Linked DNA regions of Callithrix jacchus. The protein of the gene in region 2 interacts with the protein of the main gene of each other region in a pairwise test. Links are inferred from orthologs where the notes say so. Each region holds a gene or a part of one and is shown on either strand. Other genes may lie near its edges.

What was found.
Region 1: the proteins of CSDE1 (region 2) and HID1 interact in binary tests that used the Homo sapiens proteins (3 or more experiments, as listed by UniProt). The two-hybrid records come from large-scale screens. The link is inferred for Callithrix jacchus from reciprocal best matches to the Homo sapiens genes CSDE1 and HID1.

The regions. Positions count from the first base shown.
Region 1 is NC_133506.1:130,879,847-130,886,414, reverse strand, and holds the end of HID1 (protein HID1), read left to right. Parts: intron 1-495; coding exon 496-660; intron 661-2,147; coding exon 2,148-2,375; intron 2,376-2,764; coding exon 2,765-2,871; intron 2,872-3,323; coding exon 3,324-3,404; intron 3,405-4,345; coding exon 4,346-4,437; intron 4,438-4,602; coding exon 4,603-4,761; intron 4,762-5,012; coding exon 5,013-5,076; 3' UTR 5,077-6,220; downstream 6,221-6,568. UniProt on the Homo sapiens protein: May play an important role in the development of cancers in a broad range of tissues.
Region 2 is NC_133508.1:152,718,470-152,725,774, forward strand, and holds part of CSDE1 (cold shock domain-containing protein E1), read right to left. Parts: intron 5,114-7,305; 5' UTR 5,105-5,113; coding exon 4,967-5,104; intron 3,357-4,966; coding exon 3,158-3,356; intron 1,866-3,157; coding exon 1,756-1,865; intron 1,356-1,755; coding exon 1,263-1,355; intron 652-1,262; coding exon 554-651; intron 1-553. UniProt on the Homo sapiens protein: RNA-binding protein involved in translationally coupled mRNA turnover.

The DNA.
Region 1 (6,568 bases), on a different chromosome or scaffold from region 2:
TGTGCAGGTCAGCAGGGAACTTCAGGCTGGGTGTGCCCCAGAATACATCTCTAGTGACATGGCAGCTTGACGTTCTAGAAAGATTTAAAGTCCTGAGTTTGTATCCCTGCCCAATCATTTCATTACTGGGGAACTCGGGCCAAGTTTATAACCTTCTTGGAGCCTCAGTTTCCCTATCCATAAAATGGGGATGATCTTGTCTGTGCCCTGCCTCCCTCTTGGCGTGGGAATGGCGGCTGGCACAGGTGGGATGCATATGGCTTTGTAAGCAGGACAGCTGTCTTCCTGGTCGAGGGGTGAGGGTGGGGGTCTCACTGCCTCCCAGGACTCTACATGGAGTATGGCCAGTGTAGACTCGGCCTCTCGGGCCTTGGTCTTCCTGGTTCTGCAGGGAGAAGGAAGGGATTGGGAACAGGAGGATGTTGTGTCACTCAGACCCAGGATGTGCAGGGATGGCTGGGGGTGCCCAGGAGTGAGCTGGCTCCTCCCCTACAGTGTCCCCCTACCTCAAGAGCCTGTCCATGGTGACTGCCAACAAGTTGCTGCACCTGCTGGAGGCCTTCTCCACCACCTGGTTCCTCTTCTCTGCTGCCCAGAACCACCACCTGGTCTTCTTCCTCCTGGAGGTCTTCAACAACATCATCCAGTACCAGTTTGATGGTGAGGCACCAGCCTGAGGCCCTGGCCATCAGGGTGGCCAGTGGACCTCCTTCCTACCTAAGGAGGGCACAGTCCAGGAGATGGCCTTCTGCCCTGGTTCTTTCATTCAGGGTACATTTATTGGGCACCGGCAGTGTACCTGGGTGCGGGGAATACAGTGGGGAACAAAGCTTTGCTTCTTGCCCTGTGGAGCTCACAGCTGGGGATGCAGGCAGGCAGGGAGCCTTCAAACAGATGATTACCTTCTAACAGGGCATCTGACTTTTGTGTGTGTGTGAGGGTGTCTCACTCTGTCGCCCAGGCTGGAGTGCAGTGTCGCGATCTTGGCTCACTGCAACCTCCAACCCCCCGGGTTCAAGCGATTCTCCTGCCTCAGTCCCCCAAGTAGCTGGGATTACAGATGCCCCCCACCACACCTGGCTACCTTTTTGCATTTGTAGTAGAGATAAGCAATCTGCCTGCCTCAGCCTCCCAAAGCGTTGGGGTTATGGGCATGAGCTGCTGGGCTGGACCTTTCCCTTTGTGGGATTTCACCAAGTTGGCCAGTCAGGGTCTCAAACTTGTGACCTCAAAAGATCCACCCGCCTTGGCCTCCCAAAATGCTGGGATTATAGGCATGAGCCGCCATGTCCGGCCTGAAATGGGATAAAAGGGAAGTGCAGAGTAGTGAGACCCTGATGGGTGTCTCAGCAGCTATCTGCCGAGTGTCACAGACACCTGGCTGCCGGCTGTCACTTCAAGCCTTGCCACTTGGCCCTGTGACTGGGGCATGTCATCTGACCTCTCTGAGCCTCTGTTCCCTCATATGTAAGGTGCTTGTAACAATGGTTCTAAGAGTCCCTGTCTCAGAGAGTGTTGGGGAGACTGAACAAAATAACCCCGAGAAGGCACTTAGCACAGCGCCTGGCAACTGAAAAACAATCCATTTTTATTATTGCTATTTCCAAAGTCAGTCAAATTTGCCGTGATCTCTGAGGGAGAACTAGGGGCAAGGTGGGGGAGGAGACAGCATGTGCAAAGGCCCTGCTGGTGGGATGTGGAGCTGAAAGTGGAGGAGTATGGCAGGAGGCAGGACCAGAGCCAGGAGAGGTCAGCGGCGGGGATGGATGGCAGAGACTCCTCCTGGCACCTTGCTTGGGGAGAGAGTCAGAATATTTAATGGCTGGCCTGGTGTGGACACTGCCGTCCTGGGGCCTGCCCTCTTTGCCAGGTGTTAGCCCTTTAGTGCTGGGTTGTGGGGGCGTCTTGGGCACTGGGGAGGGGTGTTGTGGGGTGCTCAGGCCTGACATCCTGGGATAGCCATAGTGGGCACACATAGCCAGTGCCAGCCTTGGCCCAGCACCCTCTCTTGGGCTCCCTGTACCATCCCCAACCCCTTTGGCAGACACCTTTCTGTCCTCCAAACTCCCCCTTCGAGGAAGCCCACCCCGATTGGATGGGGGATTGGGAGGGGCCTCCCTGAGGCGAGACATGCTCCCTGCCCACAGGCAACTCCAACCTGGTCTATGCCATCATCCGAAAGCGCAGCGTCTTCCACCAGCTGGCCAACCTGCCCACGGACCTGCCCACCATCCACAAGGCCCTGCAGCGGCGCCGTCGGACACCTGAGCCCCTGTCCCGTACCGGCTCACAGGAGGGCACCTCCATGGAGGGCTCCCGCCCTGCCGCCCCTGCAGAGCCTGGCACTCTCAAGACCAGCCTGGTGGCCACTCCAGGTCTGGTGTGAGTGGGTGGAAGAAGAGCATGGATACCGGTGTGGCTGGGGGAGAGACATGAGGATGTGACCTCAGGGTGTCACCCCCATCTCTGGCAAAGAGTGTGTCTTGCATTGGAAAGCTGAGGGGATGGGGCTGGGCAACAGGGATGGGGAGGGTACTGGGTGGGCTTAGCATGGGTAGCTTGGTGTTGGGGGCAGAGCCTCAGGGCAAGTGTAGACTGTGGAGAGGTGGGCACAGGAGAGGACGTTGCAGTGATCAGATACTGCCTCTAGAACCAACAGAAATTCCAGAGGGAAGCAGGGGTAAAATACAAACACAAATAAAAAATAAAGTGGGTGGAAGAAGGGCTAGAAGGGGGTTTTCACTCCCACCTGTGCCCTGCCCAGGCATTGACAAGCTGACTGAGAAGTCCCAGGTGTCAGAGGATGGCACCTTGAGGTCCCTGGAGCCTGAGCCCCAGCAGAGCTCGGAGGACGGCAGCCCGGCCAAGGGGGTGGGTGATGGGGACTCCTGGAGCTGGGCGAGGCTGCCCTTCCCTTCCTCCCTGGCTTCTGCAGTGGGGGCTGGGCTGGGGCGCTCTGGGGTCACCTGCAGGAGAGGGGCAAGCACCCAGTGCCCAGGGCATCAGGGTCAGTGCTGCTGACTCCCTTGGGGGTAGGGACCTTTCATAGACCCCTCCCTTGTTTACTGGTCCTGGCAAAGCCCTTGGCCTTCAGACTTCTCATCCCTCGGCCTTATCTGAGCTGGCCTTTACCCAGCCTGCCCTGTCAGCCGCTGGCCCTAAACCTGTCACTAGGTTGGGCTGGGCCTGGGGCCCGGGGCAAAGGCTGCTGGGCTGGGCCTTCTCCTTTGTGGGATTTCCAGCTGCCAGTAGAGAGAACTCATTGCCCCCCACCCCTCACCCACCCCCTCCATACCTCACCCCTGTTTCTTTCTGGGGGCCAGGAGTCCAGCCAGGCATGGAGGGAGCAGCGGCGACTGTCCAGCTCATCAGCCAGTGGGCAGTGGAGCCCAACGCCGGAATGGGTGAGGGACCCCATGCCCGGCGAGCGGGGTCTGGGGTGTGGGCAGATGGCACTGGGGTGGGAGCTGGCTTGGGGCTCCCTGGCCCAGGGAAGCTCAGTGAAGACTCATTGAAGATGGCTATGTGTCCGAATCAAAGGACCCTGGCATAGGAGCCTGCCTCCGGGTCAGTCCTTCCACTGGGTGACATCCCACATGTTTGGCCTCTCTCTGGCTCAGCTGCTTCCTCTGTCTACATGATTGCCAGAGTCCCTAGCAGGATTAAGCTCCAGTGCCCACAGTGTTCTCTTCCTTAATAAATCACTCTTTCCCACTTCCTTCCCTGAATCTCATCCCCACCTGCTGTGTCTCCTGAGATCACGCTGACTGCACTGGAACGGGGATAATTGCCGTCCCTGCCTGACCATGATATTGTGAGGGCTAAAGGCGACAGTCTCCCGAGAGGCACGTGGCACAGCCTAATGCAGGGCCATGGTGCTTGCCATTAATAACAATTAACTGTTCCCGGATCCTGCTTGGTACATTTACTGAGCACCGGCAGTGTACCTGGGTGCAGGGAATACAGTGGGGAACAAAGCTTTGCTTCTTGCCCTGTGGAGCTCAGAGCTGGGGATGGGGGCAGGCAGGGAGGATTGCCCTCTTACAGGGCATCTGACATTTTTTGTGTGTGTGAGGCTCTGTTGCCCAGGCTGGAGTGCAGTGGCATGATCTCAGCTCACTGCACCCTCCATCTTCTGGGCTCAAGCAATTCTCCCACCTCAGCCCCCGAGTAGCTGGGACTACAGGCATGCACCACCACACCTGGCTGCTTGGTGCCAGGCCTGTGCTGCGGGGAGCAGGGGCACTTTCTGCCTTGGGGAGCCCGTGGTGCTGGGTCAGGGTCAGGCTTGCCTTGCAGCCTCCGGGGGCTGCTTTCCCAGCCCCAGGAACCGGTCCGTCCCCAGGTCCTGTCCTGGAAGTCGAAGCTGCCACTGCAGACCATCATGAGGCTTCTGCAGGTGCTGGTTCCGCAGGTGGAGAAGATCTGCATTGACAAGTGAGTTGGGTGCCAGCAGGCCAGAGCGCGGGCAGGTGGGCTTTGGGCGGGGCAAACCTAGGCTCAGGTGAGCGTGTGATGGAAAGCACGGGTCTTGGGGTTCCAGGGTGATCCCTCTGCTCACCTAGACCGTGTGAGTGTGCTGGAGACACCCTCTCTCGATAGGGGCCTGACGGATGAGTCTGAGATCCTACGGTTCCTGCAACATGGCACTCTGGTGGGGCTGCTACCCGTGCCCCACCCCATCCTCATCCGCAAGTACCAGGCCAACTCGGGCACTGCCATGTGGTTCCGAACCTACATGTGGGGCGTCATCTATCTGAGGTGGGCCCCGGGGGGTGGGGTGGTGTCCACCTGAGAGCCTGTCCAGCAGGTCTCAGCAGGGACCTCTGCTCCGGGCCCCACCACCTGTGGTGGACTTCACGTTGAGACAGTCGACTAAGGCTGCCTTGCCTGCTTGAGGGTGGGCACCGGGATAGAAAGGGCTGGCTTGGCCATTCCTGCCGCCCAGCTCCTCCCGGTGCCTTGTCTGCAAGATGTCCCGGCACCCAGGTAACCCCCCATTTCCTCCACAGGAATGTGGACCCCCCTGTCTGGTATGACACCGACGTGAAGCTGTTTGAGATACAGCGGGTGTGAGGATGGAGTCGGCGAGGCACTCAGTCTAGGGGAGGGTGGGGCCCTGGTCCCTAAGGCTTCCCCCACCCACCATTCTGAGCTTTAAATGACCACGATCAGGGCCTGGGACAGGCAGAGTGGCCGAGTCCTGAGTGTCAGGCCCCAGAGACTCCTGTGACCAGGACAATGTGGACCAGCTCTGATCGCCTCAGCCCTCAGGACCAGCTCTGATCCCCTCAGCTGGACTCACAGGAGCCCCATCTCTGGGGCTATGCCCCCGCCAGAGACCACGCTCCCAACACTTGGACTCCTTCCTCTTTTTTTTTTTTTTTTTTTTTTTTGAGACGGAGTTTTGCTCATTACCCAGGCTGGAGTGCAATGGCGCAATCTCAGCTCACCGCAACCTCCGCCTCCTGGGATCAGGCAATGCTCCTGCCTCAGCCTCCCGAGTAGCTGGAATTACAGGCACGAGCCACCATGCCCAGCTAAGTTTTTGTATTTTTAGTAGAGACGGGGTTTCACCATGTTGGTCAGGCTGGTCTTGAACTCCCGACCTCAGGTGATCTGCCCGCCTTGGCCTCCAAAGTGCTTGGATTACAGGCGTGAGCCACCACACCTGGCCCGGACTCCCTCTTCAAGAACTGGCTCAGCGCTGTCCCTCAGTGCGCTCCCACCTAGTGTGCTCCCATTCCTATGCTGCCCAGCCCCAGAGGCAGAAGCCACTGGGTCACTGTGCCCTAGGGGTTTGACCAACGAACCATGGGCTGTCCCTTGAGGGGCCTGGGCAGGGTGAGGGGTGCTTGAGCCGGCTGTTCCAGGCTCCAGGGGAAAGAGATGTGGCCAGGCTGCTCCTCAAGGAGGCTTGGAGCTGGCTGACCGCAAAAGCCAGGCTGGGGCACCTCCAGTACCCTTGGCGTGTGGTGTTGGGTGGTGAGGGGCTTCTGCTGTATTCTCCTGGATCTCTCTTACCCAGTAATAGGGGGCAGGGAAGAGAACTGGGGGCAGCCGTTTAGTCCTCCCTGCCCTGCCCACTGTGGATGGGGCGATGCCACTCCTCATCCTGCACCCTGGCTCAGACCTCTGGGTCCTGCCCCCCAACCCCTGTGTCAGAACAATCTTTGCTCTGTACAATCGGCCTCTTTACAATAAAACCTCCCACTCCACACTCTGACTCTGTGGTTGAGGCGCGGGGCCAGGCATGGCTCTTGTCTTCAGGGGAGCTGGGGACTCTGCACCCCAGGGGGCCCCCAGTGCACGACTGGGAACCAGCATTTTTCATTTTCTTGGGTGAGAAAGCAGGATTAGACCCTGTCACCTAGGGTTTGGGCCCCTGGGCTGTTGCCACCCAGAGAAAGAGCCCACTGGAAAGGCCACTGAGACAGCGCTGGGAGGGCCTGTGGTTGCCAGTGCTCCACTTCGAGGGGGGTTGAGGAGGAAGGCAGAGCCTTGCCTGCAGGGCCAGGGCTGCCCTCTCTGGCCTCGCCCCAGGCAGAGCCCGCTGTTTGCACTGGGC
Region 2 (7,305 bases):
GAATCTATCCATATTAGGCATTCACCTTTCATTTTAACTGTCACATCACTGACTCTTGTCAACAGCATCCCCATTTTTCAAAAGTCTATCACTTCTACCACCTCCAAAGATCTAAATCAATCATACTTCCTTGTTTTAAATACTTCAAAGATTCCTAGAATTGTGGAAGAATACTTAACCTTAACTTTCTGGTCAATTCAATCAAATTTTTGGCCATTTCCCCGAAACATGACATGATACTACTTCTATCCATAATGGTTTTTTCCCTCTCTCTAGTGACTATATCCTTCCCTCAAAACACTATTTTTTGAAAAACCTTCATGATCTCTAGAACAAGTCCTTGAAAACCCTGACAATGTTTTAATTATCTTCCTATTTCCGACACTGCATCATAGCTGTAATAATCATAGATCCCAAATCACTAGCTGATAAATTAAAAGTTCATGAAAACCATCCAAACTTACAAGTCAGGACTTCAAATTTCTTAATGGAAAACAAAACAAAAACAAAAAACACTTAAGTGAGGAAATTAAAATAAAAACAAAAAACTTACTGTTTATTGTTATCAATTACGAAGTTTATTTTATCTCCGGTTTCTAGCTGAACGTTTCCTTCGACATCTTCAGGGGTGTAAGTCAGATAAAACACTTCCTGTGAATTAATACATCATTATTACTATTTTGGCAGGATGCATATTAACTGTATACTGTGATTTACTTAAAAATCTCTTATACTGGCATTTTAAGCCAAATTTCTTAAATACTTTATGACAAGTAAGTTATTTTATTCATATAAACACACACTTCCCCCTCCATGGTGCTGATGACTTCTGCAAGTCCACAGCTGAGCAGCAATCCAGCGTCAAAAAGCTTACACATGTGGAAGCATTTGCCCAGAGACTGTAGTTACATTTCAAAAAAAACAATTTTATATAAAACATTCCAAATAAAAAAGCTGGCGTTAGTGCTTAAAAGAAACCAGAAAAAAGATCCCCCCCCCCCACAAAAAACGTGATTAAAAGGAACATTTTACCTTAATGTTCTAACTAAGGTCATACTTGGGCAAGCTAAGACACTTGGAAGTCCTATGGAATTTTTTCTTTTTAAATATTTTGATTATGCTGCATTTGAAGCTTCTTAGAAACCAAATTTAAAACTGATTTTAACAATTGCAGCTTACGTTTTCTATTTTGAAATTTTAAAGTACGCTTATAGATCACATGGTGGATCAGGCAAAGGTTTAAGAAAAATACACAAGTTTACCCCATTACGTTCGTAGCATACACTCCCTGTTGGACTCTGACCCGGGGCAGCTGGAGATTTACTCTCTAAGTTGTGAGGAACAGCGCACACAACCTACCAGTCAAAAAAAAAAAAATTTCCATTGCTAATCATTTCAGTAGCAGCACTGTGCAATATAAACTAAATTTTAATATCCTCTATACTATACATAGGGATGCATTTTAGTATGATCCACAAGAGGATGTCATGCTGCCAAGTTTCAAACTTACAGTACATAAACTGACTGTAAGCATTGACTTAGGGTTATATGTAAAAACCCAATTGAGTCTTGACCACATTTTTATTTCAGGTCAAGAAATGCCAGTGCTTTTGATATAATCTTAAAATAGTAATCTTTATAAACTATAGCTCTCTTTCGTGCAAACTGAGGAGATGGGGAGAATCTTCCTTTTCTAATGTGAAAGATATGCAAATGCAGGGCCCTATAAAAATACAAAGCATCAAAGTCACTAACTTGTCCATTCATTCGTTCTTCAGGAAGGATTTCTTGTTTTATCTTCACCAGTTTAACAGCAATGGGTTTCCCAGTCCGCCGGTCAGATGACACTTCGAATTCAACATCATCTAAAATAAAGAATGTGTTACGTTTGTTTCACTTATTTTTTGCAAAACGTTATCTTGCTTCCAAGCTATACTTAACACAGCATTTGAATTGCCTTAGACCAGTGGTTTTCACAGCCTGGTGCCTGGACCAGCAGCATTAACATCACCTGGGAGCTTAAAAGAAATGCAAATTCTTGGACCTCACTCAAGTCCTACTTAAAGACAAACTCTGAAGATCAAGTATGGCAATCTGTGTTTTAACAAGCCTTTCCCATCATTCTGATACACACTCATGTTTCAGAACCAGCATCTTAGACTGAGAGCCATGTCTTAACGTTAGTTTTTATGGCATCTACATACACTGCAGATGAGATAATTTAACAATCATAACCTTTGGCAAGTTTTTTTTTTTCAACTCCTGTCCCTCAGTTTTCTCATATGTAAAAGGAGAAAAATTCCAAAGAGGAGTGCCATGAGGATTAACCAAAACAATGCTCATATAGATGCATCTTGTTAGCTAGTATGCTCTTTTCTCAAACATATTTTTTTTAAATGCAGAGGCCTCATAATTTCAGTCCTTTAGTAAGCCAAACAATTTGACATGTAAAAACATTTTTTTTTTTTTTTGAGACAGGGTCTCCCTGTCACCCAGGCTGGAGTGCAGTGGCATCATCTAAGTTCACTGCAACCTCTACCTCCTGGGCTCAAGCGATCCTCCCACCTCAGTCTACCAAGAAGCTGGGACTACAGGCACAAGCCACCTTGCCCGGCTAATTTTTGTAGAGATGAGGTTTTGCCATGTTGCCCAGGCTGCAAGCTGGTCTTGAACTACTTAGCTCAAGGAATCCGCCTGCCCTCGCCTCCTAAAATGCTGGGAATACAGGCTTGAGATACAATGCCACGCCTGTGAAAATAATTTGTATGGTATCAGCCAAGATGAATTTCCATATAATCTAAGACGTGACATTCTAAGAATTACTCTTTTCAGGTACTACCAAAAATAGTACCTGATAAAATAACATAAACAACATTATAGAAGTTCAATACTCCTACTGGCTTAAAATATTACAGGTAAACAGTCATTATTAGGGGAAACAACAATGAAATCTTCCAAGCATTTTATTGTAAATATATGCAAAGACATCTTTTAAGGATTCTGCTGGTTTATACAGATATTCTTCAGTAAACAGTACAACTAAAAGTCCAAAATGTTATTTACATAAAACACTTTTTTTGAAAAACATTCATGATCAAGTTAATATGCAAGACAAATTTTGTGATTACATTTTTACAAAGGAGAACTGACAAATTACCTCCTACTTTTAAGTCTTGTAGGTTGCCATTATACTGTGAACAGTGGAAGAAAAGTCTAGCTTGACGTTCTGAACACTGAATAAATCCATAAGAGGTTAACAGTTTTTCAATAACCCCAGTTTCACGCAGTGCTGCTGAAGTACCATTAGGGTACCCATTATGTCCATTGTTGTGGAGAAGGTTTGGATCAAAGCTCATCTGTTTTAAAAAGAAAAAGAATATATACAGATCTAGACATTATCTCCATAGCATATTAAGTCTTTAGTAAGTCACTAAATCTTCTATACAAAAAGGGGGGAAAAAAAAGAAAAAGGAAGATTATGGACTTTTATTACTGCAACATTTATTTAGCTAATAAAACATTTCAGAGAAAACAAGTTATACTGGGGAAGTGCCCCCATTTATGGTAGAATTTCCACTTACCAAATAAAAATAGAATTTCTGGGGTTTAATATTAAGGTATAGCAACTACTGCCTTTACATGAACTGAAAATTACTAAAACAATTTCAGAACAAAGGCAATTAACATTAAGAGACAGCAACCACAAACTACCAGACTCTTCCTTAAATGATTTGGTAACACCTACTTTGAAACTCCAGCTGATACCTTAATATTTAGTAAGTCATGCACTTGGAAGGCACATCTAAAGTTAGTAGAGATTAACAAAATAAACTTTCTATGCAATGCAATATTTAAACTAGAAAACTTCAGAGTAATTCATGCTTAGGTCCTTTAATAAAAGACTATCCAAAATAGTGCATTAGAAAACTTTTGAGACAAAACTCCAAGACAGCAAAAGCATTTTCATTTTTAAAATGCTGAATCATTTCACAGGCACATTAAAAGAAATCTTTACCTGAAAGAAATCCTTCACTTTTCACAAAGATGATGAAAACTGTAACTATCATTTCTTTCCCATTTAGCAAAATAGGAGCTATTTAAAAGTAATATAATGGAACCTGCCAGTCATAAAATACTATCACATCAGATGTTTCATTTTGCCTTATTTGAGTAAAACAACAAAACAAACTATAACTGAAGGACAAAATAAAATAGGACAAAATCCTTAGCAAAGCCTAGGTCTGTAACCACAGTAATGGCACTTCCAAATTATTACAATTATGTTTTAGGCCCTTTCATTGAAAATCTGATTTATAAGTATTTCCATTTAAGTGGATGTTGGGAATTATTAATAAAAAGGATGTATTTTCATTAGGAAAAAAGTAAAATTCTAGAAAGACAAACCAAAGTACGAGTCAACAATGTGTGTGGATAGTCAAATCATGTTAAATCAAAGCCACCACACCTGGAGGTAATTAAGTTCTAATTCTTTCACACTAGTCACCGTTCTGTGTTTGACATATATTAGCTCACCTAACTTTCACAAAAGCCCACAAGAAAGTATTAGCCTCATATTACCAATGAGAAAACAGACAGAGAAGTTAAATGACTTGCCAAAATCAAACAGCAGAATAAAACCAAGAAGGTCTGGCTCTAAACCAGAGCTTCTCAAATGAAGTTAACCAGCACTCTGGTTAAAATACAAAATCAGACTCTGGGCGTGGGGATTTTCCATCTCTATTAAGATCCAAGATGGTAACAATGCTTCCGATTCTTAGACATACCTTGAGCAGCAACACCCTAAACTACTGAAGTTATCTTCAGTACAGAGACTGAAGGTGAAAAAAAACATGAGGGAAGTTAGAGAGTGAGTCTGCAGGACATTTCAACCAGAATGAGTGGCAATCCTAGGTCATGCTCTTAACACAAAACAAGATAAGCTGAGATGGCTGCTTTCCTGACTTACAGATCTCTGATAAGTTGGGGTCCTCTTTTGTTTTTTAGTCCCAGATGAGGTAGAAGATGAAGATAAGGGTAAAGAAAGTGAAGGAGGGGCTGCAGGAGAGGGGTGAGGATCTGATGACACAGTAAAAACGTTCTCCATCTCACACAGCTGTTGTAACACAGTATAATGTTGATAAACACGATCAATAACAATTTAATGCACATTTGACAGTCAACCTTTACACATTTTTAGCTCAGGCTTAGCAAAATATAATTAATTAGATTTCTATTGACAGAAAATATAGAGCATTAACATTACTAAAAAAGGTGAAATGTATTTTTTTAAAGCCCTTAAAACATATGATGACATCTACAATTCTGAAAATGCCAGAAGGACTCTGATAGTTGTTAGAATAAGACTAGTCAGTCAAATTTCTTTTCAATGCCCAGCAAAACTTTAAATAGAACCTATCATTTTCAGTCACTAGTTTCCCCAAAGTAGAGTATACACAGATAATCCAATGGGGTGTGGAAGAAAATAATTGGAATGATTTTTCTGCCCATAAATAAAAATGAGCTTTTATAAATATTTACTACGTATTTATAGTCTAGGTCTCACCGAGTTGGTATGTCAGATGGTCTACAAGTATCATATACTATTCAAGTATTCTGAGGGAAGAGTAGAGAACTCTATAAGAGGACGACAGTGAAGTCCTCACTCATTTGCTCTTAGCATATTACAGTATGCTCAATAAGGAGATATACACTAGATATACAAATTTAGTTATCTAGTGTAACTAAACTACCTCCACAAATACATAAATGAGGCCAGGCGTGATGGCACACACCTGTAATCCCAGCACAAGGAGGCTAAGGTGGGCAGATCGCTTGAAGTCAGGAGTTTGAGACTGGCCTGACCAACATGGTAAAACCCTGTCTCTACTAGAAATACAAAAATTAGCCAAGCATGGTGGCATGAGCCTGTAGTCCCAGCTATTGAGGAGGTAGAGGCAAGAGAATTGCTTGAACCCAGGAGGGAGAGGCTGCAGTCAGCCAAAATTGTGCCACTCGACTCCAGCCTGGGTAACACACAGCAAGGCTTCGTTCCAGAACAACAAAACCAAACAGACAAAATGGTTGAAAGATTCTTGCAGAAGAACCTCAGATGGAAGATAAGGCAAACAAATATAAACAGCATAGGAACTGACATTTCTATTCCTAGTACTAGTTCTTCAACCTTCACATTAAGGAAGAAACCAGCTAATGAAATATGATAAGTATGCCAAAAAGTTAAAATCAAGACTATGATACGGATTTACATTAGATGAGATACAACATACTACATGTAGATTTACCTGATATTAATTCATTTATAAAGCTTTTTAAAAATGAAACACTTAAAAACCAGCAATCCAGAATGTAGTATTTCTAGGGAGAACAGAACATTTCTGCACAAGTAAACTATTTTTCTAATATCCCTCACTTCATATTTCTCCTCATTTGTACCACTGTTTTACAATGCAGACAGAATTATAATTGCACAATTTATAAATATATACACATATTACTAACGTATGGTTTTAACAAGCAGTATAAAACTGAGAACCATTATTCTAGATCACTGAATGACTTTCAAGTTGTGCTTCTTTCATGTTTATTTATTTCTGAGACCAAGTCTCGCTCTGTCACCCAGGGCATATTTATTTATTTTTGAGACAGAGTCTCACCTTGTAGCCCAAGCTCACTGCAACCTCTGTTTCCCAGGTTCCAGTAGATCCCCCTGCCTGAGCCTCCCAAGTAGCTGGGACTACAGGTATGCACCACCACACCCAGCTAATTTTCTATTTTAAGTACAGACAGGTTTCACGATGTTGGCCAGGCTGTTCTTGAACTCCTGCCCTCAAGTGATCACCCCCTTGGCCTCCCAAAGTAATGGGATTACAGGCATGAGCCACACTGCACCTAGCCTCATGTTTATAGTTCTGATTACTACTTAAACAAAAACACAATGACATGATCTGAAATCTAATATCCCTGAAAGCTGCAAAAAAGCCACATTCTCAAATCTGCAATCCTACCACACATCTCTGCAGGTAGGAGATAGAAATCCTCTTTTTCTCACCCAAAGGGAAAATGAACCAGAATCAGAAAGCATCAAAGGTAGCATTTTCTTTTAACACTCTAAATTGTTCCCCAACAAGAATGTTGGCATCTGGGTTCTATTGTACGACTCTCATCTCATCCCTGGATGCATACCAGAAGAGTTGAAAAAGTTTTCCCCTTCTCTCAGAATCTTTGCTGATTAGAGCTCTTTTCTTAGCCTTTATCGATTTGGAGGAGGCCTTTATTTTTCCAAAGGTA